Linked DNA regions of Schizosaccharomyces pombe. The protein of the gene in region 1 interacts with the protein of each later gene in a biochemical or structural test. Each region holds a gene or a part of one and is shown on either strand. Other genes may lie near its edges. The genes, in order: cdc17 and pcn1.

Evidence for each region.
Region 2: the proteins of cdc17 (region 1) and pcn1 form a complex in vitro, tested with the Schizosaccharomyces pombe proteins (one study listed by BioGRID).

What each region holds. Positions count from the first base shown.
Region 1 is NC_003424.3:1,386,191-1,391,441, forward strand, and holds cdc17 (ATP-dependent DNA replication ligase Cdc17), read left to right. Parts: upstream 1-1,694; 5' UTR 1,695-1,753; coding exon 1,754-1,836; exon of another isoform or gene 1,837-1,876; coding exon 1,877-2,384; exon of another isoform or gene 2,385-2,446; coding exon 2,447-4,162; 3' UTR 4,163-4,427; downstream 4,428-5,251. Other genes in the region: mitochondrial dihydroorotate dehydrogenase Ura3, read right to left, coding at 1-651; SPOM_SPAC20G8.02 (DDHD family phospholipase), read left to right, coding at 4,447-5,251. UniProt on the Schizosaccharomyces pombe protein: DNA ligase that seals nicks in double-stranded DNA during DNA replication, DNA recombination and DNA repair.
Region 2 is NC_003423.3:3,614,940-3,618,630, forward strand, and holds pcn1 (DNA polymerase delta processivity factor), read left to right. Parts: upstream 1-1,655; 5' UTR 1,656-1,745; coding exon 1,746-1,826; intron 1,827-1,935; exon of another isoform or gene 1,936-1,937; coding exon 1,938-2,639; 3' UTR 2,640-2,906; downstream 2,907-3,691. Other genes in the region: heat shock protein Hsp104, read right to left, coding at 1-137.

The DNA.
Region 1 (5,251 bases):
AGCGGGATCAGTGCAAGAAGCGGGATTTGCATCAAACTGTTTTAATAGTTGAGGAGATGTCTTAGCAATGTATTTGCGAACGCGCTTTTGAATCTTAGCAAGGATGGCATCATGGCCGATAGAATTAAAACCGTAACGATTGATTACAGACAAATCAGGCTTAAGGCGGAAATAGCGTGGTTTAGGATTACCAGGTTGAGGTTTAGGTGTGACCGAGCCAATTTCAAGATAGGAAAACCCGAAGTTCAACAAACCTGAGATAGCATCGGCTTGTTTATCGAAACCAGCAGCTAGACCAATGGGATTGCAAAATTTCTTACCCCAAACTTCAACGGCAAGAGATGGATCATCAGCTACACGATCCTTCGGTGTTATACCCCAAGAGGCAGCGAGAATGGCGACACGATGAGAAAACTCAGGAGTGGTGAAAGCATGAAAGAGAGGCATTTCAATGCGGCCATGGATAAAACTACGAACATCGGACATGTCGTAAATGGCAACGCCGGCAGTAAAACTACCAATAACACTCAAAAGCTTCCAATGACGGAGAAAGAAATTGCCATTTGAAGAGCCAGAGCTGGTAGATTGAAAACGTACAGAGGAGCGCTTTAAACCCTGAGCGACACCGCGAAACAAAGATCGTTGATACATTTTAGTATTTTTAATAGAATTCGGCTTAAATAAAAAATTTTCAAAACGAAATTGAAAAAAATATGAATGATAAAATAATAAAATGAAGTTTTATAATAGTTTATGCTTAATATATTTAAACACCAGTTTTTTTCCAAACACAACAAACCCAAGAAAAAATAAACAGAACCAAAAAATAAAAATATGGATTTAAGGATCAGAACAGAATCGTCAATCCGTTTCTTTATCCACCTAGAGACAAGAAGTGTTAATTTATATAAAATGGAGAACTTGGTTCTAATAAGATTTCAACGAAAACAAAGATTTCAGAACCGAAAAAATTTCTCCAAGTGCTAGCAGAGGTATATTCTCTGAGAAAGAACAAAAATCAAAAATTGAATGTTTATATTGAATGTTACCTGTAACAGGTAACATGTTTTTTTAGTAATGCCGGGCTGTCGAAATTTGACTATGAGTTTTGTAAATAAAGCGATGGTTATAAACAATTTTATGATAGTTTTTGCTTTCGAATTAACATTTCATAAAAAATTTGAAAAAGAAAAATTTTAAAAATTTAAGGACAAAATCCACTTGAAAAACAAGTGCGAACAGCTTTTTGCAAAAAAACTACAAACCACTACACATTAGCGAATAAGCCTATTAGGAATTTATTTTAATTTTTGTTGATTTAAATTTCTTTTTTTTTTAAATGGTTAGAATCTAGTTGATAAACTTCTAGCAATGTATTTCCAAATTGTTTCTATTACGTTCGTTGATACAGGCAATTGTTCATTTCTGGTATGACTAAAGCATTTCTATACAATTCAACTTCTCATTTTTTCTAGCTGTATTTATGATGTACAGAGCGTTGGGAGAGAGTTGATTAAGTCAATAGTATTTATGAATGAGACAAGGAACACTCATACTATATCAATGATAAATAGCTTTTATATTATCCTGTTATAATCATAAAAATTAATTTCATCTATATAGACTTAGAAAAAAATGGTTTCGTTTTCACTGTCCTTAAACTACAAATATCGTACACGTGTTACTTGTTCTTCAGGTGTACCCTCACTATTGTCAAATCTTATGAAATTCTTTACTCGTTGACTTGATTGTTATGCGAACAGTATTTTCGCAAATTCCTCGTTTTAAACAAGTCAATCAGTACATACGGATGTCGACAAGGCAGTCAGACATTAGGTTTGTTAGATAGAAGACAGACGTTGACTAACCCATATAGCAACTTCTTCATTTCTTCTGCTTCGCACAAAAGCGAGCACGTGGAGGTTTCTCAATCGTCTTCTGATTCCAAAAATGTTGATGGGAGAAGCACAAGCGAAAAGAGAAAGGTCGAATCAGTGAAATTAGTCGACGAGTCGAAACACAACAACCACGACGACACTGGAACTCAAAATGTTGAGCGTGAAAATAATATTGTGTCTGAGGCAAAAAAGCAAAAGACTTTAGGTTCATCCTCCTCTTCTTCAGATGCCGTATCTAGTAACAACGATTCTGGGGCATCTACTCCAATACCTTTGCCAATCAAAGAACCACCGTTAGAGTCCAATGCTCGCAATGATAAGTTAAAAGGTCATGCAACATTTGCTGAAATGGTAAAAGCATTCACAAAAATAGAGAATACTAGCAAACGGTTGGAAATCATTGATATAATGGGGACTTACTTTTTTGGAATTCTTCGCGACCATCCCAGCGATTTACTGGCCTGTGTGTATTTAAGTATCAATAAGGTATGAACGTTTGGTTTTAAAGGATTTCTCCTTCTCAGTACTAACGTCTTTTTTTACATTAGTTGGGCCCAGATTACTCGGGACTAGAGCTAGGAATTGGCGAAAGCATTATAATGAAGGCTATTGGAGAGTCTACAGGGCAAACGCTTCAACAGATTAAACTATCGTTTCACAAAGTTGGTGATCTTGGTCTTGTAGCTCAAACATCCCGTCAAAATCAACCCACTATGTTTAAACCTGCAGCGCTGACAATTCCATTTTTATTTGACTCATTAAAAAAAATTGCTCAAATGAGCGGAAACCAATCCCAAAATAGAAAAATTGGAGTGATCAAGCGGCTATTGAGTTCCTGTGAAGGTGCAGAACCTAAATATTTGATTCGAGCTTTGGAAGGCAAGCTACGCCTCCAACTTGCCGAAAAAACCATTTTAGTAGCATTAGCAAATGCCACCGCTCAATATCATGCTGATAAGAATGGAGAAAAACTTTCGCAACAAGACAGGATTGAAGGAGAGCAGATTCTTCGAGATGTTTACTGTCAACTGCCTTCATACGACCTTATCGTTCCTCACTTGATTGAGCATGGACTTGGTACTTTGCGTGAAACTTGTAAATTAACACCTGGAATCCCAACAAAACCCATGCTGGCTAAGCCGACGAAACAAATTTCAGAAGTTTTGAATACGTTTGATCAAGCCGCATTTACATGTGAATACAAATACGATGGCGAGCGCGCCCAAGTTCATTTTACCGAAGATGGGAAGTTTTATGTATTTTCTAGGAATTCTGAAAACATGTCTGTTCGCTATCCGGACATCTCTGTTTCTGTATCGAAGTGGAAAAAACCAGATGCTCGTTCTTTTATTCTCGATTGCGAAGCTGTCGGTTGGGACCGTGATGAAAACAAAATTTTACCTTTTCAAAAACTTGCAACAAGAAAGAGGAAAGATGTGAAAATTGGGGACATTAAGGTCCGAGCATGCCTTTTCGCTTTTGACATTTTATACCTAAATGGGCAACCTCTTTTGGAAACCCCACTCAACGAGCGTCGAAAACTACTTTACTCAATGTTTCAACCAAGTACTGGAGACTTTACTTTTGCTAAACATAGCGATCAAAAGTCTATTGAATCCATTGAAGAATTCCTTGAAGAATCTGTCAAAGATTCTTGTGAGGGTTTAATGGTCAAAATGCTTGAAGGCCCGGATTCTCATTATGAACCGTCAAAACGTTCCAGGCATTGGCTAAAAGTTAAAAAAGACTATCTTTCTGGTGTTGGAGATTCTCTGGATTTGATTGTAATTGGCGCATACTACGGAAAGGGTAAACGTACTTCTGTTTATGGTGCCTTTCTTTTGGGCTGCTACGATCCAGATACCGAAACAGTTCAATCGATTTGCAAACTCGGGACTGGTTTTTCAGAGGAGCATTTAGAAACTTTTTACAATCAACTTAAAGACATTGTTATATCTAAAAAGAAAGATTTTTATGCTCATAGCGATGTACCTGCGCATCAGCCTGACGTCTGGTTTGAGCCTAAGTACTTGTGGGAAGTCTTAGCTGCCGATTTATCTTTGTCTCCGGTTTACAAAGCTGCAATTGGATATGTTCAAGAGGACAAAGGAATCAGTTTACGTTTTCCAAGATTCATTCGTATTCGGGAAGACAAGAGCTGGGAGGATGCTACAACAAGTGAACAGGTTTCAGAATTCTATCGTTCGCAGGTGGCTTACAGTCAAAAGGAAAAAGAAGGGTCCCCAGCTGCCGAAGATTATTAAGTTTGTAGCTGAGAGTTACTGCTGAGAGCTACTGTCATAATAAAGGGTAATGTTCGGCTAAAATTTGCCCAAAGAGGCTAATATGAATTATGTTAAAGAGACAGACAAATTGAGTTTATGCTCTAGCTGATGGCTATTTCTCTAGCTTACTACTATTTATTTTTTTCTAATTGTAATCCCCTGTGGCTAAAAAAAAATTAATAATAAACAACATTGAATTTCCAAATTATAACATTAGATTGAAAATTTGAATCTTATTTATCCCTTTTTATTATCCTTTTTATATGATTTTATACATTGTATTACCATTTTACGTTCGTACCAAGCCTTACTCTATTTTGCCGTCATATTCCTCCTTACAGTGGATTACGAATGCTTGGTGTTCATTACCGTCCATATACATTTTATGTCACTGTAGCAAACACCAAGAAGAAATTACAATATTGGCTTTAAAGCCATTAATTGCTATGAATAATTCAGAAGAATGGCCATTGAAACATGTGCAACCGCCCAAATTGTCATTTCGTCATTTGCTATCGAGATCTGTGACAGATGCTCCTTCATTGCGGGTACGTTGGTTCTATGCGGTAGATAGACCGCTTAGGAAATCAAGAACGGGACCGACGGAAATTAAAAAAGCAAAAAATTTTTTACCTTTTTCAGCTGAAGACTCGGAGCACATCGAAAAAAGTTATTTAAAGGCTGTAGAAAATGACGGTCAATCTGAACCGGTCAATGTGAATGAGGATTATTTGTATTCGGTGAACGTTGTTTCAAGAGAACTCTCACCAATATACTGGGATGGTCCCGTTTACCGGATACTCAGGGGAACGTGGTTTTTTAGTCGTGGGGATAAACTGTACCCTTGTGAGGAAAATCTAGCGACACAAGTGGAAGAAGGTTATTTAAACAGTTGTCCCTATCGAGAATTTTCGAATGAAAAAGACTCTGCTGCTGCACAATCAAAAACATGGGCCCTCCTTGGAAGGTATACAGGTGGATTCGTACAATACACTGGCAGCAGGAATGCCCGACTGGTGTATGATGACTTTTATCGTAACGTTTCTGTGAAAATTATGAATCGGTTTT
Region 2 (3,691 bases), on another chromosome or scaffold:
CCGTTACTGTCACTGTCGGACAAAAGAGCAGCAGCAATGTGAATAGGGGTTAATTGTGAATGACCATAAGATTGTGCAATTGAGTACGCATCAGACAATGTCTTTGCGGCTTTGTCAGTAAAAGGATAATCAGCCATATCGAGTTATATTATTATAGGAATTTTTATAATTTATAGATAAATCCAAAAAAAAGGAATTGTATATTTGTCGCTCGTTATAAAACAAAAAAGAGAGAGTCGTTGAACGGTAAATATATACGGTTTTCAGTTCGATTTAATAAGAACTTAATATCGTTATTATAATAAATTCTTCGGTTATAGATTGATGGTTGAGGATGCCGCAGGTAGAGAAGCTGTGCATATATATACACGATGATGTTACTATGGGAAGGAAAGGAACATACCAGAAGATGCCAGTTACATTGTTACTCGAACCTACTCCTACACTCTAGAAAAAGAAAGGGATAAAGTAGGGTAAATCCCAAAGACATGACTAGAAGATTTAAAAAAATAAGAGAAAAATAGCTTAAAAAAAAACCGGTGTAAATTAAAAATGCAGTTACCTTAAAAGTCTTTGAATTGTCTTTAAACATGGAATACTCGAAACCCGGAAATGATCTGCGTATTACGTAGTGTATGGAACAACGTAAAGACGGATACTAACCTCAACTTATTCTCAATTGCATCTTGCTAAATACCGTTAGAATTCATCAATGACTGAATAAATAATTTTTTGATACATAGTTCTTCTATTACAGAGATTCTAGTCATATTTCCAAGCTATTTCTAAGATAGAGCTCTTACATTACTTATTCTATACGGTAGCGATTATTCGTCGTAATGACATTTAACGAACTTTAGTTACTTGACCATAGTGGTTTATAAACTAAACAAACCAACAGTGAATTCTTGTTAACGTAACTGTAATCTACGAATATTGAGAAGAAAAAAAAACGAATGAATTTGTTGTGAATACATATTTTTTCCTTAGCGAACAAGTATACTTCATTCTTATTTTCATACCTCTTTAGTCTTATTTAAACCAGCAATAAAATTCGTTTTAAGTTTTCCGTGTTAATACCAATTAAAATAACGTTTTTTTCAATCATTTTATATGTCATTGCAACGTGAAAATAAGTTAATAAATTTCGGTAGCAGCTAATATGGAAAATGTACAATTTACTTGATACATTAGTGTAGCCTAAATTTTATTTGATCCTGGAAAGTATATTAAGGTAGAACGCGAAAGCTCTCCTAGTTTACGCCGTAAATTGTAATGACTCGCTGATTACATTTGGCTTATTATAATCCGTATAGCTAGAAAATTTCGATAACTGAATATTGCTTCTTTAAAAAGACATAAATAGAACCGTGAATTAGTACAGCAAACGAAAGATAAAAATTTCATAGTAACATGCAAATACTATTTTTTCAGTTAGTTTTCCATAATTTTGTATAATATTTCATATCAAACGCATCTAAAAAGTACGGACGAAATTACTTGCTATTGTAAAAATAAAAAAAATAACAAAACAAATTATAATAACGTGAACTGCTATTTTGGTCTCATATATGAAAGGTTCTTGAGATTTTTTACGTTGTCAGCTAGCAATTTTACGCACACTATTCTGTGCTACGCGCTCTTTGACTACTTCCCAAAAGCCAACTACAAAAGGTTTTTGCAGTAACCTTTGTTAGCTATTCTTTATATCTCTTATCTAGCTTGTATAAAATATAATTACGACTATGCTTGAAGCTAGATTTCAGCAGGCTGCTTTGTTGAAAAAGCTTCTCGATGCCATCAAGGAGTTAGTTACAGATGCTAATGTATGTAAGGGGCAGCATATAAATAAAGATGCTCAACGACAAAGCCTTTCTTTTTTTTAAAAAAAATATATTTATTAACTTCTTTTGAATGATTCTCTAACCTCATAACAGTTTGATTGCAATGACAACGGTATCTCTCTGCAGGCTATGGATAGTTCTCATGTAGCCCTTGTTTCTATGCTTATTAAATCAGATGGATTTGAACCATATCGGTGTGATAGAAATATTGCTTTAGGTATAAATCTGAACGCCTTATCAAAGGTCTTACGGTGTGCCCAAAACGAGGATTTGGTTACTTTAAAGGCTGAAGATACACCTGAGGTATTGAATTTGGTTTTCGAGAGCGAGAAAAATGACAGGATCTCTGATTATGATGTTAAATTAATGGACATTGATCAAGAACACTTGGGTATACCAGATATCGAATACGATGCTACTATTACTATGCCTGCTGCCGAATTTCAACGCATTACTCGAGATTTATTAACTTTGAGTGATTCAGTAACAATCAATGCTAGTAAAGAGGGTGTTCGTTTTAGCTGCAAGGGAGATATTGGTAATGGTAGTACCACGCTGAAACAACATACCGATCTTTCTGACCAAGATCAAAGTATCGAAATTTCTCTTACCCAAGCTGTAACACTTACGTTTTCTTTGAAATATTTAGCCCAGTTCACTAAGGCTACTCCTTTAGCTACCCGAGTCACACTTTCAATGAGCAATGATGTTCCACTTCTTGTGGAGTATAAAATGGAATCCGGATTTTTACGATTTTATCTTGCCCCAAAAATTGGTGAGGAGGATGAGGAGTAGATTACGGAATCAATATCTTTTAGTAATCTCTTTGCAATTGACGAGCTAGCATCATTATAAACATACTTTTGTTTACTTTTTAATTCAACCTTTTTTGTACTGCTCCTTCCCTAACATTCATATCCAAACAGGCAAAATACCAGCTTTTACTTAAAAAAAATCAAATTCTTTAGAACCAACAAACTGAAGGGTAGAAAAACTTGTGTTCTTAGTGATGATTTTTCACAGATAACTTCGTAATCATCTGCTGTAGCTTGTTGATTTAAGTCTAGTACATGATATAATACATTGATATGTAAATTAGCTTAATTCTGAGAATTTATTCTAACTGATAATTGTATACTTATATGGCTAACCGCGTAAGAGCCTCGGAGGGACAGTTCGCCCAAATACTACCAACGCTACCACCAGTAGCAGCAAGGCGTAAAAGTTACTTAAAGAAGATAGAATTCCTTACTCTCTATACTGCCAACTTTTCGTAATAATTTATATATTTTACTATTTGGCTATATTTGAAATTTTTAGCGTTGAATATACTATGGCAGGAGATAGTGTGAAAAGTGCAATCATTGGGATTGCTGGGGGTCCTTTTTCTGGAAAGGTATTTTATTAAAATATTTTTTTCTTAATTCTAATACTTTAATACTAGACACAACTCTGTGAGCAATTACTTGAACGTTTAAAGTCATCAGCACCTTCAACTTTTTCTAAATTGATCCATCTTACTTCATTTCTTTATCCCAATTCTGTCGACAGGTATGCACTTTCCTCTTACGATATTGAAGCGTTTAAAAAAGTTCTTTCTTTGATTTCTCAAGGAGCCGAGAAAATATGTTTGCCAGATGGTTCTTGTATAAAGCTACCTGTAGACCAGAATAGAATTATTCTAATCGAAGGTTACTATCTTCTTCTTCCCGAATTGCTGCCCTACTATACGTCTAAAATTTTTGTATATGAAGATGCAGATACTCGTTTGGAACGCTGCGTTTTACAGAGGGTCAAAGCAGAAAAAGGAGACTTAACCAAAGTTTTGAACGATGTAAGGGTTTTTC